7 linked regions of the Macaca fascicularis genome follow. The protein of the gene in region 3 purifies or fractionates together with the protein of the main gene of each other region. This does not show direct contact. Links are inferred from orthologs where the notes say so. Each region holds a gene or a part of one and is shown on either strand. Other genes may lie near its edges. The genes, in order: PRPF3, SNRPD2, SF3B1, H1-1, SNRPD1, SON and RBMX.

Region 1 (2,674 bases), on a different chromosome or scaffold from region 3:
GTAATTGCTATTAATAGTTTTTCTTCTGAAGGAGCAATAAAAAAAAAAAAATTAAAAAAAAGGTTTTCATGTATCCTTCTGCCTTATCCCAGATTCTTCAATTTATGCATACAAATTAGATGATAATAACCATAGTATTTGTTTCTCTGTTTAATAAGTTCCCACCTGCATATTATCTTTTTTTTAAATCAATTTTTTTTTTTTTTGAGACGGAGTCTCGCTGTGTCTCCCAGGCTGGAGTGCAGTGGTGTGATCTCGGCTCACTGCAAGCTCCGCCTCCCGGGTTCATGCCATTCTCCCGCCTCAGCCTCCGAGTAGCTGGGACTACAGGCACCCGCCACAACGCCCGGCTAGTTTTTTGTATTTTTAGTAGAGACGGGGTTTCACCATGTTAGCCAGGATGGTCTCGATCTCCTGACCTCGTGATCCACCCGCCTCGGCCTCCCAAGTGCTGGGATTACAGGCTTGAGCCACTGTGCCCGGCCAATTTTTTTTTTTTTTTTTAGAGACAGGGTCTTGCTCTGTTGCCCAGGCTGGCGTGCAGCGGTGCAGTCATAGCTCACTGCAGCCTTGAACTCCTAGGGACAAGCAATTCTCCAGTCTCAGCTTCTCAAGTATCTGAGACCTCAGGTCCACACCACTGTGCCTGGCTAATTTTTAGAAATGCAGTCTCACTATGTTGCCTAGGCTTGTCTCGAACTCTTAGCCTTGACTGATCCTCCCATCTCAGCCTCCCAGAGTGCTGGGATTATAGGCATGAGCTACTGCGCCCATATCTTCACATATCTCAGCCCCCTCATCTCTTTTCAATTTTCTTCTATTTATCTCCGAAGAGTACTTACTGAAAAAGTCGCGGCTTCTTAGAGAACCAGTATTAATGTTGTAGGAATTTAGTTTTCAGGAATTGTCTTTCATATTCAGAAATAAGCCAAGTTCTGCTCCAGCCTCCTTATTGGAGTCTACTCCCTGAAAGCCTCTTGAGGTAGTGCTTTATGACTGCCATTGCTGCTGGTGCCTTTGGCAAGAATGCCGTTCTACCCAGTACTGTCTTTTTTTGTTGTAATTCTCTGCTGGTACCTGCTCTTCTTCTGTTCCCCACCCGGAGTTGTTCTTTGTTGCTGGGCCCCAAAGCCTTCTGCTTGTATAAATAGTTTTTTGGGCCTTTTTGAAGGCCCAAATTTAGTCCTGAAGGCCTGGTGGGAGATAAGTTTATCTCATTCCACCTTCCATAGTTCTTCCTGACTTGCTGTTCCACCCAGGCACCAGAGCAAAGAATTCCTCATCCTCATTTCAAAAATCTAAAAACCTTATACATATGAATTCATAAAAACTCATACAAATATCCAAGGAAATGGAGGTCACAGTTTTTTTTTTTTAACCATAAAATCACGTTCAGCTGGGCACATGTCTCACAAATGTTACTAGGTCTTTTTTTTTTTTTTTTTTTTTGAGACGGAGTCTCGCTCTGTCGCCCAGGCTGGAGTGCAGTGGCCGGATCTCAGCTCACTGCAAGCTCCGCCTCCCGGGTTCACGCCATTCTCTTGCCTCAGCCCCCCGAGTAGCTGGGACTACAGGCGCCCGCCACCTCGCCCGGCTAGTTTTTTTTGTATTTTTTAGTAGAGACGGAGTTTCACCGGGTTAGCCAGGATGGTCTCGATCTCCTGACCTCATGATCCACCCGTGTCGGCCTCCCAAAGTGCTGGGATTACAGGCTTGAGCCACCACGCCCGGCCTACTAGGTCTTATAAAAGAATATTATATCTGATTTAAATAAGAAATTGAAGTGTTTTTATTACATATCTCTTTCCTAGGGTACAGCCAAAGACCGGAGCTTTGGAGAGATGAAGTTTAAACAGTGTCCTACAGAGAACATGGCTCGTGAGCATTTCAAAAAGCATGGGGCTGAACACTACTGGGACCTTGCGCTGAGTGAATCTGTGTTAGAGTCCACTGATTGAGACTACTGCAAGCCCTTGCCTCTCCCCCCCTTGCCTTTGTCTCTTCAGTCCTCTCACTTATTCTATTTCCCAACCCACTCCCACTTGTTGTGTGATCTCAGAACTGTGCCAAGCAGACACTGGGACAAAGGGAGAATATCTTGCTCCCCTCCCGAGTCAGCCTGGTGTTGCCCTTTATTCCCCTTATGTGCATATGATTAAAGAGTTATTTTTAAACTTGGTGTGATATTTTTCACACATTCCTAAGTACTAGAGTTTGGGTCTCCAGGTGATCTTTTTTCCAGACTTTTAGCAATTGCTGTAGAAAAAAAATTTTTTGTCATTGACATTTATTTATATATATAAATGGATGAATGGATGGATGGATAGATGGATGTGTATTTTTGAAGTCTAGTGGAAATGTCTGATCTCATCCTGGAGCTAGAATGAGAAATACTGTTTTCCTGGAGCAGAATGAAGCAGGGAGATGTGTAAAGTGGTAAGGGAGAGAGGAGGGACAAATGAGTATCCATCCCTTAACTGAGAGAATCACCAGGTCAGACAGATTACCTCAGGACTTGGCTAAGTAGTCTTTCCAGGAAATCAGTTCCTCTAAGGGGTGCATATGTGGGAATGTGTGTTGTGGGTAAAAAGGACACAGGGAGAGTCCAAGGAGGATGCTATGGGTCAGTTTGTAAAGTGGAATAGGATTTAAGAATTTAGCCCATTTTGTCTCT
Region 2 (4,007 bases), on a different chromosome or scaffold from region 3:
ACTAAAGGCGTAGAACCCTGAACCCCCTCGTCTTACTATTTCAGACCTTTCCTCATAAAAGGAAGCTACTGTTGTAAAACCAGCCCGAAGCCTTATTCCTTTGGTAAGGGTCATGCGCTCAGATGACGAAGACTGTGGCATCTGCGGTTAGGGCCGTACGCTAAAGCCAAGTCAACCCTGGGTAACAGCGGGGAGGGAATGAGGGTCCCCGCGGTGCCCGGGTCCCCGCCCAGCCTCACCCGCAGCTCCCGGCCCAGCGGCAGCTCCTCAGTCCTGCGGTGCCAGCCGCTCCAAATGGTGTAGAACGCCGAGCCCACGGCCAGCGCCAGCAACAGGGGCAAGAGCCGAACCCGCGGTAGCAGGCGGCGCTTCGGGGGCAAGAGTGGCTCCATAACGCCACGTTCCCCTAGCCGCAGGCGGGGCCGCCCGCGGCCCCCGGAACGCATGGCAGCTATGCCCTGAAACCTGTACCAGACCACGATTGAGTTTAGGCCCAGCCAAGTTCCACCCCATGGAATCAGTGGGCCAATAAGCAACAGCAGCGGCTGCACCTGCCCACCCCACAGCGAGCAGCGAAACCAATAAGAGCTACGGTCCTGAGGACACGCCTCCCGGCCTCCCTTGGGTATTGGGGTTGGTTCTTCTGAGAATGGCACGACCCAAAAGGGAGCGCAAAAGAGATAGGCTCCGCCTTAGCGGAGGGGGAAAGCCAATGAGCAGCGTTTGATCGTGGAAAATATTCAATCTCTCGGGCGCAGGTCCATGCCCCTCCCGGATGTAGGCAGGGGATTGGTGGCGCAGGGTCGGAAAGATCAGTAGATACGTCAATAACCCGTCCCAGAGGGAAGAGGGGCGGTGCCTGTCTCCGAAGCGAGGAGCGGATTGGCTTCAGCGGAGGCCGCGCCCCCGAAGTCACGGCCGGCGGGCATTTGGAAATAGTTTGTCATTTCCCTCCTTAAACCTGTACCATTCTTAAACGAAACGGTTTGAATCAGACCGCCTTTCCTTTTGTCTTCATTGTCATAAACATCTGCCCCGTGTGGTTCTGACTGGCCTCGAACCCCTATCCGAGGCTTTTATTCTTTCATTGTGCACCGTTGGTGGGCAATGCTATGGCAACAGGCCACGCCTCCACTTACTGGTTGGCTTTGCGCAGGCGCCAACGGAAGTGGGTCGCAGGAAGAGGAAGTCCCGCCTCTCTCGCCTCAGGCTGCAGCAACGCGGAGGAAACGGGAGTGAACGGAGAGCTTAGTGACCATCATGTGAGGCCGGGCTAGGCTTAGGCGGCGGGAAGGAGGTTGAGGGTGGAAATTTTGACCGATTGAGGGTGGGAAGGGTTGAGCAGAGAGCGGGGTGGGGGACAGGGGCAGATGTTTTAGGGATGGAGCGTCCTGCGTTTCTCCTGATGAGTTTGAGAACGGGCGTGGGGCCTTTGACGCATCGTGACTTCGGGAGAGGGGACAGCTTTATCAGATAACGCGCTGGGCTGGGCGCGGGGACTCATGCCTGTGATCCCAGCATTTTAGTAGGCCAAGGCGGGAGCATCGCTAGAACACAGGAGTTTCGAGACTACTCTAGGCAACATAGCGAGACCCCCGTCTCTACAAAAAAAATTTTTTTTAATTATGAAAAACATATTTTAAACGATAACGGAGGGGGGTCCTAGATAATTAGTCCTATTGAAGTGAATGTTAAGGGGCAGCGATTTTACGAATACTGGGGGAGGCCGGGCGCGGTGGCTCAGGTTTGTAAATCCCAGCACTTTGGGAGGCCGAGGCGGGCAGATCACCTGAGGTCAGGAGTTTGAGACCAGCCTGGCCATTGTGGTGAAACCCCGTGTCTACCAAAAATACAAAAATTAGCCAGACGTAGTGTCGGGCCCCTGTAATTCCAGCTACTTGGAAGGCTGAGGCCGGAGAATCGCTTGAACCCGGTAGACGGAGGTTGCAGTGAGCCGAGATTGCACCACTGCACACTTCCAGCCTGAGCGAAGAGTAAGACTCCATCTCAAAACGAAACAAAAGAAATCAAAACGAATACTGGGGAAGGGAAGTTAGGACTTTTAGAAATAATGATTTGAAATAAGGGACTTCTCCTGATCATTTGAGCTGGAGACAGATGCGTTTTCGACCTAATTCACAACTTAAAGGGATAACGAGTGATTGGCATGATTTTGCTCATTTATTAGTGCACCAAATATTACATTGAATGTTTATGTATCAGACACTGCTTAAGCCACATAGGATACATCAGTGAATGAAACCTTTTGTTCCCAAGGAAAAAAAAAATCTTTTTTTTTTTTTTTTTTTCCCGAGACATAGCCTTGCTCTGTTGCTCAGGCTGGAGTGCAATGGTGCGATCTCAGCTCACTGCAACCTCTGCCTCCCGAGTTGAAGCAATTCTCCTGCCTCAGCCTCCCGAGTTGCTAGGATTACAGGCACCAACCACCATGCCCAGCTGACTTTTATATTTTTAGTAGAGACCAGATTTCGCCATGTTGGCCAACCTGGTCTCAAACTCCTGACCTCGAATGATCCACCTGCCTCGACCTTCCAAAGTGCTGGCATTACAGGCGTGAGCCACCGTGCCTGGCCGGGCGTGAGCCACCATGCCTGGCCGGGGTTTTACTTTCTACACTGAGATGGCGGGGGGGCATGGGAGGATTTTCTTTTGTTTGTTTGAGATGGAATCTCGCTCTGTCACCCAGATTGGAGTGTAGTAGCACGATCTCTGTCTCCTGGGTTCAAGTGATCTTCTTGCCTCAGCCTCCCAAGTAGCTAGGATTACAAGCATGCGCCACCATGCCCAGCTACTTTTTTTTTTGGGGTGGGGGATGGAGTCTTACTCTGTAACCCAAGCTGGAGTGCAGTGGTGTAATCTTGGCTCACTGCAACCTTCGCTGCTGGGGCTCCAGCGATTCTCCTGCGTCATCCTCCTAAGTAGCTGGGACTAGAGGCATGCGCCATCACACCTCGTTAATTTTTTTGTATTTTTAGTAGAGACAGGGTTTCACCATGTTGCCCTGGGTGGTCTGGAACTCCTGAGCTCAGGCGATCCACCCCCCTTGGCCTCCCAAAGTGCTGGGATTACAGGCGTGAGCCATCACACGCAGCCTAATTTTTGTATTTTCTAATTTGTATTTATTTATTTTTTGAGACAGAGTCTCGCTCTGTCGCCCAGGCTGGAGTGCAGTGGCATGATCTCGCTTCACTGCACTCTCCGACTCCTGAGCTCAAGCGATTCTTCTGCCAGAACCTACCAAGTAGCTGAGATTACAGGCGTGCACCACCACGCCTGGCTAATTTTTTGTTGTTGTTTTTGTTTTGTTTGTATTTTTAGTAGAGATGGGTTTTCACCGTGTTGGCCAGGCTGGTCTCGAACTCCTGATGTCAAGTGATCCACCCGCCTTGTGAATCATCACCAGCTGGATGCCTAACAGACATTTTCTTTTCTTTTCTTTTCTTTTTTTTTTTTTTTTTTTTTGAGACGGAGTCTTGCTCTGTTGCCAGGGTGGAGTGCAGTGGCGCGATCTCAGCTCACCGCAACCTCTGCACCACAAAAGTGCTAGGATTACAGGCATGAGCTACCGTACCCAGCCCCTGGGAGGGCTTTGAAGAGTGACATGTTATGATTTAGGTTTTAGCACAGCCCCCTCAGACCACTCTGTGGAGAACAGACTGTCAGGGAACATGGGTGGAGGCAGAGAGACCGGAAAGATTCCAGGTCAGAGATGACAGAGGCTGAGGCCATGGTAAGAAATGGCCACTTCCTACAGATTTATTGTAGGATGCAAGGGAAAAAGAGGAATCAAGTTGACAAAGAGTTTTTGCCCAGAGAACTAGAAGGCAGATGGGGAACACTGTGGATAGGGTAGGCTTCGGTGGTTGGGTGATCTGGACCCCGACCTGAGACATGCAGAGTTGAAAATGTCTGGCTGAGCGCGGTGGCTCACACCTGTAATCTCAGCACTTCGGGAGGTCGAGGCGGGTGGATCACGAGGTCAGGAA
Region 3 (3,958 bases):
AATGGCTCCTCACTGTACCCAAAGTAGACATGGGGTCTTTCTGCAAGAGGAATACACCCATACCATTTTCCTCCCTTCAAACGACCATAATGACCCATGGTATGGTTAGTATTTGGGTTGTAGGTTTATCACATGGCGAGGTACTCCTTTCTTTGTGATGGCTCTAACCTTGATAACTACCTGTTTTCCTGGGCTGCTTCCGGGACCCATCTTTCTGAGCCTTTCTTTTTCATTGTCGAAGTCCAAGATCAGTGTGACGGTACAAGGTTATGATATTTTAATTGATGTCTAGGAAAACAGAATGCATTCTGATCTATTAAAATTCCTGATTTAGGAATACCGTCTACGATTTAAGAGAAACATTTAATGAATGTTAATAATGACGATGAGTGGTTTTCTAAGAACCCATAAAGTTAAAAGGCTTTAAAAGGGTGGTAAGATTCTCACTGTGCAACTCAATAACGATTTGTGAGGCTCAACGAAATTCTTACCCAAATTATTTGCAATTATTAAACAGAAATAATGAAAAATGACCTTGAATTACAGGGCGAGAGATGAGACTGTTAAGACTGTCTTTGTAACTAAGCACTGTAAAGACTGAGACAGCTGCAAGGTGAAGTTTTCCTCGAGTTCTTCTGGTGAATTGTGGGAAAGGGATTGAACGTCTGAGGTCTCTTCCAGCTCTGAAACCGCAGTGTTTCGTACAGTGTTCATTTTTTTTTATGGGAGGGGTCTCGGGGTCTTGCTCTTTCGCCCGGGCTGGAGGTTGGAGTATAGTGGCGCGACACGATTACGGCTCACGGCAGCCTTGAACTCCTGGGCTCAAGCGATGCTCCCACCTCAGCCTCTAGAGTAGCTGGGACTCAGTGTCTGTTCTTAACTCCCCTCGTAGAACCCACTTTCCTCCAAGGCAAAGTTACTCACTTAAGGACCTTACGGCTTAGCCCGAGGATTTCCTGGGTCACCACGCAGGCGGCTTCAGGTCCCAACCGTGACTCCTCCCCCACCCACAATGCACCTCGCGGTTCCCTCTAGGTGGCAGCTGTGTCACGTGTCACCCGACGGAGCGCGCTTCTGTTTGGCGCACGCGCAGAGTGCAGCCCCCAGCTATTTTTTTCTCCGTGGCGGCGGCGACGAGCGGAAGTTCTTGGGAGCGCCAGTTCCGTCAGTGTGTTCGAGTGGACAAAATGGCGAAGATCGCCAAGACTCACGAAGGTAAGCGGTCTTTCCCTGCTTACGTGTTTTCTTGGTTGCTAGCTTACTAAGAGCCTTTCTTCCTAGGATTCTGCCTTTTCCTATGGTTTCTTTCATGGGAGCCGAGCCCGCGTTTCGGGGCCAAGGGTCGTCTCCTCCGCGCCAGCGGCGCAGGCCACTGCCCCGCGTAATGGCGTCCTCCTCTTACACCCCCGACAGGCGCTTTGTTCGGTGTTTGGGACCTGCTACTTCAGAGTAGCTTCTCTTCTCCGACCAGAGGGCCTTGTTTAAGCGGCTTCCTCAGCAGGATTCGTGGGCAAGGGATCTGGGAAGCGGGCGTGGGGAGAAAGTCTCACTCGCCTGTCGACAGTGTCGTCCGCATAGTTTATGCAGAAGAGGGTCAGAAAAGCACTGAAATACGGCATCCGCTTTTCCGGCAGGACTGAATCGAATTTAGTTAAACCGAGATTCCATTACTCCTGCCCCCGTGTGTGTTCAAGCGTCAGTGTTACTTGCTTATTTTTCTTGCACGAAACGATTTGGGGATAAAATCTGGTAGTAGTTTTCCCTCCCTTAGTCACTTTTAGTATAATATTGATCTTTTTCTTTGGAGACTGGTTATTGGAAGAGCCAGATGGAAAAGGAAAAGATAAATTACTTTCATTAACGGCCGAAGCTTTCAAACTAGTTGATCGTTTTATGGAATGCAGAGTGTGCAAATTAGGAAAACGTTGGGAATAGACTGGAGTTCATTAGGAAATATCCAGAGATGACAGGAAACGGGATCACTTTTCAGAAAAGACGAGGCATGGGAAGTTGGAACTGCATTCTTTGATTTCTGACTTGGAATCCGAGATTTTCACTGAGAACGAGACTTCTAATTCACTTTTGTTTCATATGTTCTTTCTGGGTATTTGGCTCAGCATTAGTCTGTGAAAGGTAACAGACTGAGGCCATCCAAAATTTTACAGTCAGGTAGGGGAAACAGATGTGTATGTCCTCATTCTCTCATGAGGCCAAATGCATGCTTAAGTAGAAGAACAAACAACATGTTCTGGGAACCTGGATAACGGAATTATTATGCTTAGGGTTATTTCACTGAAGAGGTTACATGTCCCTGTTTTAAAAGGATCAGTTTTAAATCGGGAAGGACATCTGAGCCTGAGAACATCTTGTAACAAGGTATTGAATCGTGAAAGGTGTGTTTGAGTAGTAGTCCACTGTGGCAGGAACAGTGGGTGCAAGGAGAGAAGAAATAAATGAATCTGTAAAGGTTGGTTTAGGACCAGAATATGAATGGCTTTGAATTTTTGGGTCACTCGGAGGACCTGAAGTCCAGCTTTCTGCTGTTTATCAGACATGCTAATGAATTGGCAATGGCTTTAATACCAGTATTATTTTAGGTATTTAGGATTTAAATGCTCTCTTAGTGTTCTTAGGCCTTATTATTTTTCTTTAGACTATCTCAAATATAACCTTTTGCAAAATAAGTAGAAAATATAAAGATGTGCTGTTTTTGTTCATTCAGGAGGTTATTCATTTGGGGATATTGATAGTATAGCTTTGATATTTATTGGTAGCATAAGATGCTCTCAAACAGGAAAATCAAAGTTTTGATCAGTTTTCCTGAATTTTTTAGAAACCCAGCTAAAAGCTTTGGTCTATTGCTATTCATTGTCCAAACTTGTTATTTTTGAGATTATTCTATCAATGTGAATTAAGTGATGCCATAAGAAAATAGCAGAACATTCAATACTTGAACACTGTCTGTGCCCATCCCTATGGGTTATAAGTCAGGGGATAATAAATGTTTAGTAGAAATACACATAATACTGACATAGCTTCTTGCTTCCTTCCTAATGACATTTTCTTGGTGGAACTCTAATTATTCATGGTCCATCACTGTTTTCTCTTGTTAAGCCATTTTTGATAAACTGAAGCAGAATTAATGCTTTTAGGGGCAGTGCTGCCATAGCACTCAGTATAAATGTTATATTACTTAGAGTAGTCTATTGTGTTAAGATTTTCTCTTCTACTTAGCTCCAAGATTGAGATAAACTGGTAACTATTTATTTATTTTGCTGTCATATTCTTTCCAAACATTTATTTTATTTATTTTTTTTTTTTGAGATAGAGTCTTGCTCTGTTGCCCAGGCTGAAGTGCAGTGGTGCAATCTCAGCTCACAGCAACCTCCACCTTTTAGGTTCAAGCTATTCTCCTGCTTCAGCCTCCAGAGTACTGGGATCACAGGCATGCGCCACCACACCTGACTGATTTTTGTAGTTTTAGAGACAGGGTTTCGCCATGTTGGCCAGGCTGGTCTCAAACTCTTGACCACAAGTGATCCTCCCACCTCGGCCTCCCAAAGTGCTGGGATTGCTGGCATGAGCCACAATGCCTGAACCCTTTCAAACATTTCTATTAGGATCAGGCCTCACATCCTCTTTAACCAATCTGATTATATTTTACCCTGGCCAATGTGGCTTATGCTTTCCAGGATTGAAATATAAAAAGAGCTGGACTTACTCAAATCAGATAAAATCTTTTAGATCTTTCCGCATATTAAATTGTGTCAGGTGTATGGTTATGAATATGCATAATCTTGCCATCCAGCAGTTCTTCAGATACTGCTGACTTTGGCAAACAAATAGGGAACACATATTCTTCTCTGTTTTGTAAGGGGAAAAATGGGTTAATCAAAAATCCTGTGTATCAGCTTGTTTTGCCACTAATCCTTTGAATTAGATTTTTTGGTACATCACC
Region 4 (2,523 bases), on a different chromosome or scaffold from region 3:
GCGTGGCTTCTCAATAAAATAGACGTAGGAAACACTGGTAAAGAAGATGGGTACAATAGTTATCTGGGACTACTACAATTATTTGGTTGACACGTTGTTTGAAGAAAAAGGGAAAAAGCTCAGGTTACTTAGCACAGTTCGGACTTATTTAAAAACTACAACAGCACGAACGGAAATAGACCGCATTCCCTCACTCTCCGCTGTGTTAAGGGGTTATCCAGAATAGGATTGTAGAAGTGGATGTCGATTTAATAGTTTTTTTGTTCTCCCGTTAGCTGAGTCTCTGATTGGCAATGTGAGATCGTTTTAGCTTATTGATAATTTGAAATGCTCTTAACAGCCACAAACAAGCTAAAGAGAGGTTACCATAAAATCTTATCCCCAGGGTGTGCTTACACTTACCGTTTGTTTTCACACTAAGGAGACTTAACTCCCCAGCAGAATGCCTGTCGGGGAACCAGTTTCTTGGACCCAGCATTTAACGCCTTTCGCAGGTTTGTGAGGCCCATAAATCTTTGTTGAATAAAACAATGAGTTCACCATGTCATGGTGCGCTCATTGCATGTGCTGACATGGAACACAGGTTGTAAACCTTAACACCCATTTGGGGCATGTTGTATGGATGAAAAGGGCATTGGAAATTCCTGAAGTGCATCCCACATTGGACTGTGGAAGTAAGTTGCAAGTGCAGAAACGTTTCCACACTTGCAGTTTGAGTATTAATTGCAGCGTTAGTGAATTCTGGTGTTGTCTACGATTCATTCTTCTTTGACGTGAAAGGTATTCGCGAGACACATCGCTCTAAAACATTGCCAGAAAATGTAATCGAGTTGATGACTACTAGCCCTAACACGGCCTAAAACCCGCACTTTCCTCTTCCTCCCCAACTATTCAAACACTGTATTTTACATTTCTTGCAAATTAAAAACTAACATATCTGGCAACGGACCTCTAAAACTTTCTAATAAAACTCCCTGGATGCTTGTGGGGCTGCATTTGCAAACCGCTCCCCATCAACCTACTCCCTAAAACAGAGCTGCTTTTTGAGAGACAAGCGGCACCCTCTGATGTTACTAGGTGGCAGTCGGCCTACAATTTCCTTCACAATGAGGCAATCGGAGCGGCTTTTTCGGTGTGTTTGCTTGCGTTGAGGGGAGCGGGACCATAGGCCCTAGAGGCCCCCAGGTGCTCTCTGAGACTGGGGGAAACCCTCTGCAGAGCGCAGGGGGCGCTAGGGTGCGAGGGGCGGGCACTGACGGGCACCAATCACTGCGCAGTCCCACCCTATAAATAGGCTGAGTCGGGGCCTTTTTTTTCTCGCATCCTGCTTGGTCAGGTTTATACCAGTTTACTTGGTGTGCTGTATTAGTCACCATGTCCGAAACGGCGCCTCCCGCTCCCGCCGCTTCTGCTGCTCCTGAGAAACCTTCAGCTAGCAGGAAGGCAAAGAAACCTGCTAAGGTTGCGGTGGCCACTAAGAAAAAGCCTGCTGGCCCTTCCGTGTCAGAGCTGATCGTGCAGGCTGCTTCCTCCTCTAAGGAGCGTGGTGGTGTGTCATTGGCTGCTCTTAAAAAGGCGCTGGCGGCCGCAGGCTACGATGTGGAGAAGAACAACAGCCGCATTAAGCTGGGTATTAAGAGCCTGGTAAGCAAGGGAACGTTGGTGCAGACGAAGGGCACCGGCGCCTCGGGTTCCTTCAAACTCAACAAGAAGGCATCCTCCGTGGAAACCAAGCCCGGCGCTTCAAGGGTGGCTGCAAAAACCAAGGCAACGGGTGCGTCTAAAAAGCCCAAAAAGGCCACGGGGGTTAGCAAAAAGAACGTCAAGACTCCAAAAAATGCTAAAAAGTCTGCGGCAACAAGGAAATCCTCTAAGAGTCCCAAAAAACCCAAAGCTGTAAAACCCAAGAAAGTAGCTAAAAGCCCTGCTAAAACTAAGGCTATAAAACCCAAGGCGGCCAAGGCTAAGGTGACGAAGCCAAAGACTGCCAAACCCAAGAAAGCGGCACCCAAGAAAAAGTAAATTCGGTTGGAAACTTCTACTAACCCAACGGCTCTTTTAAGAGCCACCTACACACTTCGGGAAAAGAGCTGTAGTACACAGATGAAATTCCCCCAAGCAAATGCAATACGCCCTCATTTATATTAGAATCACTTGGAGAGTCAATAGGAACTTTAACATAGGTTGAGTAGTAAATTCTTGCCAGATGAGGCTATCAAAGATAGCAAGGTGAATTCAAATGCACCGAGTTAAAGTCGAATTTTAGATCACCTGTTTTGCTTTTTTTTTTTTTTTTAAGTAGCCCGAAGTCCCGCATCTCACGACCCCAAGCTAATTAGTCATAACTGTAACGAACCAAGGTTGAAGCCTAGTCCCAGGCTTGAGGCTTTTTTATTATACAAGGTTAAAGTGCGGACATTGCGTTCTTGGGTCAATATTGCTAAAGTAGCCTTTTCCGAAATTGGGTGGTCCTAAGAAATGCTTCTGGGATAGTAAGCAAAATTCATGGCTTAATCACGCCCT
Region 5 (4,281 bases), on a different chromosome or scaffold from region 3:
AGGCAAAATTCATGTATGGTGGAAGAAATTGGTTGCATCTAGGGGTATGGAGTCAGAGGTTGCCTGGGAAAGGCTTGAGGAAACTGAGGTTTTGGTAATGTTACTTCTCTTGATAGGGGTTTAGGTTACAAAAGTGCTTATGTTTTTCAATAGCAGGAAATATACGCTGCATTTCATTGTATTAAGATATTCACCTCAAAGAAGGAAAACAAAAATCCATGAGTGGGATAAAAAGGGCCTGAACCTCAATGGTGGTGACCGGAACGAAAGGAGGCTACTATGGGCAGGACAAATACACAATTATCCCTCCCTAACTGAACCCAGGAACCAAATGGATTCAACTTATTTTCAGACGAATCTTTCAGTATCTGAATTCTTTCTACTTAGTGAAACTTAGATATCAAATAGTCAGATAACACGGTGTCCCTCAGTATCAAAACACACTATCTGAACCCAAAAAACAAACAGGAAAATGTGGGACACTTTTATGCAGTAGGTAAAACTGGCAGTGTATCAAATGTCAAGGACATCAGGAGAGAAAAAGTCAAGCTCACCTCCCAGGTTTTTGGTTAGGGTGACAGTGAGAATAAGGATGACAACTACCAACTGATATACAGAAATTAGTCTACTGAAAACGCAAACCAGTTAGTCAAACAATCATTTTCTGGAGGAAAAATACATTCTCTGGTAAGAAAAAAATTTTCTTTCTATATTTGACCTAAGACACAAAACAGGATTCAGTCCAGCTATTAAAAATTACTGGAAAATTGCCATAACATGCAATATCTTTAAAGGGAACAAATGAAATCCAAGGTGTATTACATAAAATTGAACTATGAGTAGATTAAGATTCAGATTAGCAGGTATGGAGAAATTTCAAAAAATGTTGTAATTTTCTTTTTTGAGACAGAGTCTCGCTTTGTTGCCCAGGCTGGAGCACAGTGGTGTGACGTCGGCTCACTACAACCTCCCGGGATCAAGCGCCTCTCTTACCTCAGCCTCCTGAGTAGCTGGGATTACAGGCGCCCGGCTAATTTTTGTATTTTTCGAAAGACGGGGTTTCACCACGTTGGCCAGGCAGGTCCTGAACTCCTGACTTCAGGCGATCCGCCTGCCTCAGCTTCCCAAAGTGCTGGGATTACAGGCGTGAGCCACCGCGTCCAGCCTAAAAAATGCACTTTAAATTCTATGACTTCCTATCCAAAATTATAGTTCAAATAAAAATACAACAAAAATTAATCTTAATTGTCTTTTGTACCAACTCCTCCCTGAATTTTTTATTTTTTTATTTTTGCAACGGAGTCTCGCTCTGTTGCCCAGGCTGGAGCGTAGTGGCCAATCTCAGCTCACTGCAACCTCTGCCTCCTGGGTTCAAGCGATTCTCCTGCCTCAGCCTCCTCAGTAGCTGGGATTACAAGCGCGCGCCACCACGCCCGGGCAATTTTTGTAATTTTAGTAGAGACGGGGTTTCACCATGTTGGTCAGGCTGGTCTCGAACTCCTGACCTAGTGATCTGCCCGCCTTGACATCCCAAAGTGCTGGGATTATAGGCGTGAGCCACTGCGCCTGGCCTCCTCCCTGAATATTGAAGGCTTTTATGTGTTATTTAAAACGTTTCAAACAAACGTTATCTACTTGTCTGTCATCCCCCTAACTAGAAAGCTCCAACAAGGATCTGCCTTTTAAAAAATACTATTACCAGCGCCCAGTAGGTAACAGGTGCCCAATAACTATTTAGCGGATAATGACAATCCTTGACTCAACAGGAAAGAAACAAGCTAAATATTTATAATCGATGGCTTAGTTATTAGAAACGTCTGCCTCTGTTCCAGGCTCAGTCTCAAGGAAAAAGACCAAAACCAAATCTACTCGCAGGTAGTTTGGAATTAGTCTCCAGAAGACTCACCTAAGTGACAGGGTCTATTTCTCGCGAAAGAAATAAAACAGAATAACTATATATCATCTGGGTAATCAGCCACAATTACGTTGTGATAATTTCTGCCCTATATTGGGAGATTTTCCTAAATAAAAAGCTTACCTTAACAGGAAAGAGGTAGAATAATCAATCATAAGTCTAAGGAGAATCAAAAGATAAACTTAAAAATCGGCCGGGCGCAGTGGCTCACACCGGTAATCTCAGCCCTTTGGGAGGGCGAGGCAGGCAGAACGCTTTAGCCCAGGAGTTCGAGACCAGCCTGGTCAACAAAGTGAGACACCGTCTTATTTAAAAAAAAACAAAAACAAAAACTTGTGAAGCCAGAAGTCCTTCTCTGATTTAAAACAGTTTGCAAACAGGTTTGTTTCCAGATAAGCTCATACAGCTTTCTAAGTACTCTTAAGTAGGGCTGGAGCTCCACTCAAAAAGAAAATCAGTAACTGTAAGGGCGAGATGTCTCCCAGGCGGCGCTGCACCTTGAAAGTCTCTAAGTCACTAGGCGGGAAGAAAAGGCTCGGCCTTTATACCAGTATCTTGGAAGACACGCGGGATCCGCGAGCGACCCAGGCAGAAGCCCAGGCCCGAGCACGAGCTGCGGGCGCAGTAAGGCCGGCCGTTAGCAGGCCGCGCACACGCGGCTTTCCCGCCTCCTGCAAATGGGAGAGCCCAGCCTTCCGGACTCCGGGCCAAGCCCTCCCTCCACAGCCCCCAGAGCTGCTTGGTCACTCCCTCACCTCACGAGCTTCATCCTAGCGGCGCCGTCACCCTTCGGGTCCGAGAGCGCACAGAATCCAACAACCGAATACTGACCAACTGCAGTATGAATGGCCGGAAGCGCCTACTCCAGGGACTCCGGTCGTAAAGGGCGCGCGGAGCACAGCAGACGCACGGCGGAAACGCCGAGGCTGCGCTGGGCCGCACTCTCTTCCGGTCGCGAGGAGCGCGACTGCGGCCCCTGGCGGCTGGAGGTTGCCTTGCCACGACTGAGGGTGTTGAGGGCTGGTCTAAGAGGAAAAGTGTCCCACAAGAGAAGGAGATTCGAAGAGGTTAAATCCAATTAATAGGACTGTCGCACTTTGGGAGGCCGAAGCGGGGGTATCACCTGAGGTCAGGAGTTCAAGACCAGCCTGGCCAATAGGGTGAAACCCGCGTCTGTACTAAAAATACAAAAAATTAGCCGGATGTGGTGGCGGGCGCCTGTTATCCCAGCTACTCGGGAGGCTGAGGCAGGAGAATCGCTTGAACCCGGGAGGCGGAGGTTGCAGTAAGCCGAGATCGCACCACTACACTCCTGCCTGGGCAACAAGAGCGAAACTCCGTCGCGCGCGCGCGCGCGCGCGCGCACACACACACACACACACACACACACACACTAGTACTGTCACCATCACGTTTCTGAATAGCAGGGCACCGTGAGTGCAGCACCTAATATAAATTCCTCACTGAACGAAAATAAGTTCTTAGAGAAGCCCAAAGGATTATGCTAATTCTGTTCCAACGCCAGGAACCTTAGCATTACTTAATGTACCTGAAGCAATTCACACAATGAGCCGGGCGCTGTGGCTCACGCCTGTAATTCCAGCACTTTGGGAGTCCGAGGCGGGCAGATAGCGAGGTCGAGAAATCAAGACCGTGCTGGCCAACATGGTGAAACCCTGTCTCTACTAAAAATACAAAAATTAGCTGGGCGTGGTGGCACACGCCTGTAGTCCCAGTTACTCGGGAGGCTGAGGCAGGAGAATCGCTTGAACCCAGGAGGCGGAGGTTGCGGTGAGCCGAGATCGCGCCACTGCACTCCAGCCTGGCAACAGAGCGAGACTCCGTCTCAAAAAATAATAAAAATAAAAAAATAAAATCACACAATGTAGCGGATTATTTTCACTTTAAGTTCCGATCTATAAGACAAACTTTTCAATCTTCATCTTTCACAACATCTCCTCAAAATTTATTTTTATTGTTTTTCTGAGACAGAGTCTCCTTCTGTCGCCCAGGCTGGAGTGCAGTAGCACCATCTTGGCTCACTGCAACCCTTGCCTCCCCGGTTCAAGCGATTCTCGTGCCTCAGCCTCTCCAGTAACTGAGATTACAGGGGGGAATCACCACGCCCTGCTAATTATTGTCTTTTTAGTAGAGACAGGGTTTCCCCATGTTGGCCAGGATGACCTGAACTCCTGACCTCAAGTGATCTGCCTCTCTAGGCCTCCCAAAGTGCAAAGTGCTAGGATTACAGGTGTGAACTTCATCAAGATTTAACACAAACACTCCCCTTACCTCTTTCAGGTTTCAGGATGCCAAGCTCACCTGGCCTTTTTCCTTATCCCACTAACTACTCTTGTTTGTTTTGT
Region 6 (3,500 bases), on a different chromosome or scaffold from region 3:
AACCTTTCTACATAACCTCCCTCTCCATAGGCTTATTACAAAGGGGATTAGCTATATTGCTAAACCCAAACACTGCTTTCCCAATTCCATATACAGGTTGAGTATTCCTTATCCAAAATGCTTGGGACCAGAAGTGTGTCGCATGATTCCAGGTTTTCAAATATTTGCATTGTATTTACTGGTCGAGCATCCCAAATCTGAAGAGGCTCAAATCCAAAATGCACCAGTGAGCATTTCCTTTGAGCATCATATCAGTATTCAAAGAGTTTTCTGCTTTAGAGCATTTCAGGTTTCCAGATGTGGGGTGCTCATCTTGTATGTTACAGGAAATTTTTCAACCTTTGCTAAATAATTCCGTGCTAATACAAGCTTTTCCAAACCTATCCTGGGAAATCTGTGGTTCTCCGAGAGCTTACAGTCAGGCCATGTCCCACAATTCCAAGGAGAACGCTTCCTGAAATTGTACAATACTTACACCAAAGTATTTGGTGCAGAGCTAGTTCATTTCCAAATTCATTAACACAGATTAACTGTTGAAGTTAGCTTCAACTTACTATTTGATTACAAAGATGAAAATAAATCCCAGTTTTACATTTGCCAGCTTTTATAAATGAGGTTTAAACAAGCTATAAAAAATCATACTGAGCTGGCAAGCCTCTCGTGATTCCACTTACATTATTCCAAAGGAAGAAGTTATTTAAAAGATGCCAATTAGCTATTATCTGTGGGAACGATTAAATACTTAACAACTACATACAAGCTACATGGAAGACACAGTGCTGTCCTACCCAGGTATCTGAAGGTAAAAGGAAAATACAGTCAATGCTAATGGTTCCAAAATGCCTTAACACCAGGCAACAGGAAGAAGTAACATTATTGTCAGCAGCTGGTCTACTATACTCTAACCCAACTAAACTACTGAGCTTGTAAAAAACAACCAAAAAAAAGCAAACAGGGTTTATGAAATCTAGACTAAACAGCATTGTAATAGGAAATAACAAAAAATAAACCAAACTAGAAATAAGGATGGTTCTTTGTCAAGAGAAAATAAAATGGAAATCCTCTTTTCTAAACATGAAATCTGGTTGAATTTGGAGGTGTAATAATATAATTAGATATATACACATTTCCATATTTAGCAACTAGCATAACAAAAGGTGCCTTTTAAAAGTTCAAACTGGTGTCTCTATCCATAGTTATATAAAAGTAAGCTGCTTCTGTGAACCCCAAAAGGGGTTAATGTTTTTTCTGACAAATAGCTGTATATATACAAGAAATGCCTTCAGTTCAAGATCACTGGGTTCAAAAGGATATATTAAAGGTAATGTTAAAGGAGGTGTTAATAAACATTTCAAAAAAGAACTTATTACCTTTTCGGTCTGTCTTAAAATCAACTAGAATGGGTTCCTTATTGCCTTCTTTGTTTTTTCCTAATCCTTCTCCTTCTCTCCAGCCCATTTTTCTCATCAAAACGGCTCCCATTCCTCCAGTTACCGGGGCTGCTCTTAAGAACTGATCCTATCCAAAGAAAGAAAGGTAAAATGTCCCCATTTTACAGTTAGAATGTGGTAACAGATTCATTGTTTACTTTCTAAAAAGAGGAATCTTATTTTACTTCTAGATCTGTTATAGCAATTAAATGTAAATTCCTCTATATACATACTGTAGTGTGTATGTTCTGATTATTTTCACATTAACGTAATAGTATTTTAGAAGTTAAATAAGACAAGTAAATGGCAGTTTTGAAACAGTAGCCCTCGTGCCCCCCTCAAAAAAAAAAAAAATTAGAACACTCCTGTTTTCGTCCACTATTTAGGTTCACTGGTATCTCTTCTTAGCTTGCAAAATAAAAAGAAGGCAATGTTAAAACAATCAATGATATTAATTGTCCCAGGTGTACCTAGTTTATGAATAAAGCCCAAAAATCACTTAGAAATAGTTTAGACACTGAAGAAGCATACTGTTGTCATCCAAAGTTTTCTTCCCCATTCTACTATAAAGCAAGTATAAATATTTTACTTTAGAAAATCCCTAAAGCAGCCAAAAAAAAAAAAACTCCTGAAATTTACACAGTAACAAATAGAAAACAATCACATAAAATATCCTGTAAGTATGCCAAAATGAATTTGAATTCTTTTAAAACCTAGCTTGATGTTAAAAGACTTTTAAAAAACTCCTTAAATGTTTACATACCTAGGCCTCGGTAGCAGCAATGTTGTGAATAGTACGGCTGGCACTGACCGGGGCAAGAAGACAGCTACAAGGATTTGGCCCTGAAACAAGTTTCCATACAGAGGGGTGAAAGTTCACAGGTTATTCTGTGAACAATCATCTCTCTTGTATCCAACCCACTGAACCATAATTTCCATCAAAGCAGCAAACCACTTAATGTCCTAAGATGCACAAGTATATACATTAGCATGATCAACACTTATTTTTACAGGTTAAGAAATATTCAATGCCTCTTATTAAAGGGCATCCATGTACATATAACAGTATTAAATTCTACTGTTGATCTTTATGGCCACTTTTTAAAAATTTGAAACATGTATCTCCAGATCATGCTTTATTTTCCCCTTGTTACTAAATTTTAGGTTTTTATGTTCTCTACCAAATATATATATAAATATACATATAGCAAAAGTCATTAACTTATCAACAGAGTAAAAAAACTTTGGTAGCTCAGGAAATAGTATGTATTCACATCTCCTATATTGATAAGTTAATACTGAATGTAAAAAAAAAAAAAAACATGTTTGTATGCAGTAGTAAAACTATCATCTTTTGTTTCCCAGCTTTATAATTAAATGCTGGGGAGAAAACATGCCAATGATGTGTGACTAGACATTAAGTTCATCAAGATGCTCTGATGGAAGGAGGCAGCTGTGGAGGTAAAAACATACCCCTGGTTCAGTTCCTTATTTGGTGCAGGCCATGCAGTGTAGATGTATAAAGAGAAAGCTGATGCTTGGATATTAACTGCCTTGATGCTACACACCTAGAATGTCTTTTACTTACTTCCAGGTTCATCCGTCCCTCTTTTCCAGGGAACACTCCTAAAAAAAAGGGCAACTGTGCAGAGTACAATATAAATCCCCAGATAACCCAAGTTTCCAATTTTGTTTCCATTCCCTAGTATCGTCATCTGTTTCTTTACCCCAATGTGAAAAAGCTGATTAATTTAATGAGACCACAATAATAAACTCTTATTTATCAGGTCACATCCAAATCATCCCATTCCAGAAATAAAAGTTCTTTTAAACCAACTATTTTAAGTGTTTTACTGATTAATGAGAATACTGATAAAACTTTGCTTTTTTTAAAATCTAAAAATATACTGCAACAAACTAAAAAGAACACAGAGGATGTTGGTATTCCATGTGTTTTTTAACACATAGGTGGATGCTGGACTATACTAAAGAAGAGCCAAAATGATCGTTTGACAGGTTTTCTAAACACAATTACACATTTAATGAATAGATAATCTTTGTGATATTTAA
Region 7 (2,539 bases), on a different chromosome or scaffold from region 3:
GACTTTGAAAAAAATACCCCCTCCCAAGCCCCAGATCGCCATTGGTAAACAACAGCTTTATTAATAAAGCCTTTAAGTGTCATACATGCTTAAAAAAAAAAAAAAAGAATCCAAGTGTTGAATTTGGAAGACTTCTAATATGCTATTGAATATTTCTTTTCTCCAAAAGTTTTTTAATCTAGAAGGCATTTCCATTGCCTTGAGGTACAGTATGTTTCACTGTACTATGAGGAAGGTAAGTGTTCAATTTCGACTTAGACGGAAAAACTAGTTTGCTTTGCTTACCATCTTTGCTGTTTCACAGGCATTTGATGCTTTAAATCTGATGTGGAATGCTGATAGATTCACTTTTTAGAAGTCATAAGCCTTTAGGAAGTTGGAGATAACTTCATTGCTTATCTATTTTCTCCTTTGCAATCAAGCTGTTCCTTTAAAAGTGAGACACTACAGAGTTGCAAAAATTTGAAACAGTAAGAGCAAGCACCTTTGCAGCTTCATGGTTGGTTTTGGCCAAACTTTTTATTTAGTATTCTGTAGTTGTTTAACACACACTTAAATGGTCTTACTGGGGGAGGGGAAAGGGGAGGTTCTTGCAGATTCCCAAGGAAATGTGAGAAAGGCAAAATGGCCAGCATTATCCATTTGCTTTTTTGGGTTTACTGGGTGAATAGCACTTTCCTTACACAGGCATGTGATTTCAGGTTTTTCATACTGAGAACATTGAGATTTCAGTTGGAAGACACTCTGAAATCTTATAAGTAGCATACCCCAACCACCCTCTAGTAGCTAGCTTGTTTGTATAGGTAGAATGATTCATCTCTCCATTTTAGATGGCTAGATGTTCTGTGGAAGATCTTAGAATTGCTTGCCTCATTTACTGGGAAAAATCAAGATAGGAAGTGGCCTTTAGGGATACTTTTACTTGGAAAGTTGCAACACTAGTACAAGTCTTAACACATTTAACATTTGCTTGTTGAAAAGCAATGTCATAAAGTCAAATAAAATTAAACATGTTTTACTTTTTGCCTCACAAGAACATTTGCTTGTTGAAAAGCAATGTCATAAAGTCAAATAAAATTAAACATGTTTTACTTTTTGCCTCACAAGAACATAAAAATTATGGAGGAAAACTTAACAGGGCATTTAAAAAATGTAACACAATTTTTCCTTTTAGTAGTCCTTGGGTAGTTATGACAGAATAGTTTCCACTTTTTGTTTCTTTGAACTGGGATTTTGGTCCAAAGTTTTGTTTGTTTCTAGTATCTGCTTCTGCCTCCCCCTCTATCAGATCGGCTTCCTCCACGGCCACCACCTCTTGGTGCTCCGCGGCTTGAACTGCTGTAGGAATCACGTGGAGGAGGGTACCCCCTTTCCATAGAAGGGGGAAGCCCTCTGTCTTGTCTGCCAACCCGATCACGACCACTTGAGTAGAGATCACTTCGGCTGCTTGAGTAACTGTCTCGACTTCCACCATATCCGTCACGTGAGCTGCTGTAATCATCATAGCGACTGCTTCCACCATAAGATGGCGGGGGCCCTCGTGTAGGTGGAGCACTACGTGAGTTACCTGCAGGGTCAATGGTCAGGTAATATGGCAACACTATAAATTGTATATATACAACATTTTAAATCTGAATTTACAGAATTCTTGTATTAAAAGTTTACTTTCTCAACTGGGTGGGAGGTTTTAAACTCTGCCATTGCTGGCCATAACAGGGATTTGCTCATCTGCTGAGATATGGAAATGGATTCATTTTAATGTTTGTTTGAAAAGACTGAAGACGGTGTGTATTTCAAGAGGATATTCCAGAGAGCTTGTTATTTTATAGTAGACACTCAGCCACTTTCCAGTGATAAGTTGCAATTTTGAACTGTAGAACTTGCCTTCATATTGCAATGGTAAATATTTGATCTTGTTAATAAAATTTTTAAATTGTATTTTCACTGTTGGGGGAAAACACATAAGGCTGCCAATTTAAGCAAGCAAAATCCCCTCCAAAGCAAGCAAACAGCCTCAAAAGAAACTTAGAAAAACAAAAAAAAAGCCCCTCACAAAACTAGGAAAAGCCCAGCTGATAAAGTTACCCCTTTAAAAGCAAGCAAACATCCCTTTAAAAAGCAAGCACCACGCAGCCTAAAAAACTGGCTCACGAACCTAAAAACTCAAGCTGGTGATACTCAAGACCCTTAACCAGTATCTTACCATAACTCTCATATGAATCTCTGTAGGAACCTCCACTTGGATGATCTGAATAGTCACGATCACGACCATATCCATCTCTATCGCTAAATTAAAGAGAAACCTTTAAGTCCCAGAGCATCAACTTTTATAGCAACTTTTCTTACATGCAAGCCACAGAAGCAGTCACTTACCTATAGCCTCTTGATGGATAGTCATCACGTGAACTGGAATGACCATAATCACGGTAAGTATAATCTCGTGGTGGTGGTGCATAATCTCTAGTATCACGAGAACTTGGGTAATCTCTGCTTGAATAGCTACAAACACAAAAGTTTTGGTTCATGCTTTTGATAAGCT

The links.
Region 1: the proteins of SF3B1 (region 3) and PRPF3 purify together in Homo sapiens (co-immunoprecipitation; 3 studies listed by BioGRID and IntAct, with this or other methods). This does not show direct contact. The link is inferred for Macaca fascicularis from reciprocal best matches to the Homo sapiens genes SF3B1 and PRPF3.
Region 2: the proteins of SF3B1 (region 3) and SNRPD2 fractionate together in Homo sapiens (co-fractionation; 5 studies listed by BioGRID and IntAct, with this or other methods). This does not show direct contact. The link is inferred for Macaca fascicularis from reciprocal best matches to the Homo sapiens genes SF3B1 and SNRPD2.
Region 4: the proteins of SF3B1 (region 3) and H1-1 purify together in Homo sapiens (affinity purification with mass spectrometry; 3 studies listed by BioGRID and IntAct, counting the BioPlex papers as one, with this or other methods). This does not show direct contact. The link is inferred for Macaca fascicularis from reciprocal best matches to the Homo sapiens genes SF3B1 and H1-1.
Region 5: the proteins of SF3B1 (region 3) and SNRPD1 fractionate together in Homo sapiens (co-fractionation; 5 studies listed by BioGRID and IntAct, with this or other methods). This does not show direct contact. The link is inferred for Macaca fascicularis from reciprocal best matches to the Homo sapiens genes SF3B1 and SNRPD1.
Region 6: the proteins of SF3B1 (region 3) and SON purify together in Homo sapiens (co-immunoprecipitation; 3 studies listed by BioGRID and IntAct, with this or other methods). This does not show direct contact. The link is inferred for Macaca fascicularis from reciprocal best matches to the Homo sapiens genes SF3B1 and SON.
Region 7: the proteins of SF3B1 (region 3) and RBMX fractionate together in Homo sapiens (co-fractionation; 3 studies listed by BioGRID and IntAct, with this or other methods). This does not show direct contact. The link is inferred for Macaca fascicularis from reciprocal best matches to the Homo sapiens genes SF3B1 and RBMX.

The regions. Positions count from the first base shown.
Region 1 is NC_088375.1:110,908,746-110,911,419, reverse strand, and holds the end of PRPF3 (U4/U6 small nuclear ribonucleoprotein Prp3), read left to right. Parts: intron 1-1,811; coding exon 1,812-1,958; 3' UTR 1,959-2,174; downstream 2,175-2,674. UniProt on the Homo sapiens protein: Plays a role in pre-mRNA splicing as component of the U4/U6-U5 tri-snRNP complex that is involved in spliceosome assembly, and as component of the precatalytic spliceosome (spliceosome B complex).
Region 2 is NC_088393.1:53,756,366-53,760,372, reverse strand, and holds the start of SNRPD2 (small nuclear ribonucleoprotein Sm D2), read left to right. Parts: upstream 1-1,207; 5' UTR 1,208-1,260; coding exon 1,261-1,262; exon of another isoform or gene 1,263-1,994; intron 1,995-4,007. Other genes in the region: QPCTL (glutaminyl-peptide cyclotransferase-like protein), read right to left, coding at 240-446. UniProt on the Homo sapiens protein: Plays a role in pre-mRNA splicing as a core component of the spliceosomal U1, U2, U4 and U5 small nuclear ribonucleoproteins (snRNPs), the building blocks of the spliceosome.
Region 3 is NC_088386.1:93,049,546-93,053,503, reverse strand, and holds the start of SF3B1 (splicing factor 3B subunit 1), read left to right. Parts: upstream 1-1,158; 5' UTR 1,159-1,187; coding exon 1,188-1,215; intron 1,216-3,958. UniProt on the Homo sapiens protein: Component of the 17S U2 SnRNP complex of the spliceosome, a large ribonucleoprotein complex that removes introns from transcribed pre-mRNAs.
Region 4 is NC_088378.1:146,912,123-146,914,645, forward strand, and holds H1-1 (histone H1.1), read left to right. Parts: upstream 1-1,316; 5' UTR 1,317-1,374; coding exon 1,375-2,022; 3' UTR 2,023-2,023; downstream 2,024-2,523. UniProt on the Homo sapiens protein: Histone H1 protein binds to linker DNA between nucleosomes forming the macromolecular structure known as the chromatin fiber. Histones H1 are necessary for the condensation of nucleosome chains into higher-order structured fibers.
Region 5 is NC_088392.1:68,147,116-68,151,396, forward strand, and holds the start of SNRPD1 (small nuclear ribonucleoprotein Sm D1), read right to left. Parts: upstream 2,801-4,281; 5' UTR 2,685-2,800; coding exon 2,671-2,684; intron 1-2,670. UniProt on the Homo sapiens protein: Plays a role in pre-mRNA splicing as a core component of the spliceosomal U1, U2, U4 and U5 small nuclear ribonucleoproteins (snRNPs), the building blocks of the spliceosome.
Region 6 is NC_088377.1:13,348,670-13,352,169, forward strand, and holds part of SON (protein SON), read right to left. Parts: intron 3,057-3,500; coding exon of another isoform or gene 3,027-3,056; exon of another isoform or gene 2,783-3,026; intron 2,274-2,782; exon of another isoform or gene 2,194-2,273; intron 1,519-2,193; coding exon 1,371-1,518; intron 1-1,370. UniProt on the Homo sapiens protein: RNA-binding protein that acts as a mRNA splicing cofactor by promoting efficient splicing of transcripts that possess weak splice sites.
Region 7 is NC_088395.1:143,024,301-143,026,839, forward strand, and holds the end of RBMX (RNA-binding motif protein, X chromosome), read right to left. Parts: intron 2,500-2,539; coding exon 2,374-2,499; intron 2,287-2,373; coding exon 2,204-2,286; intron 1,568-2,203; coding exon 1,257-1,567; 3' UTR 501-1,256; downstream 1-500.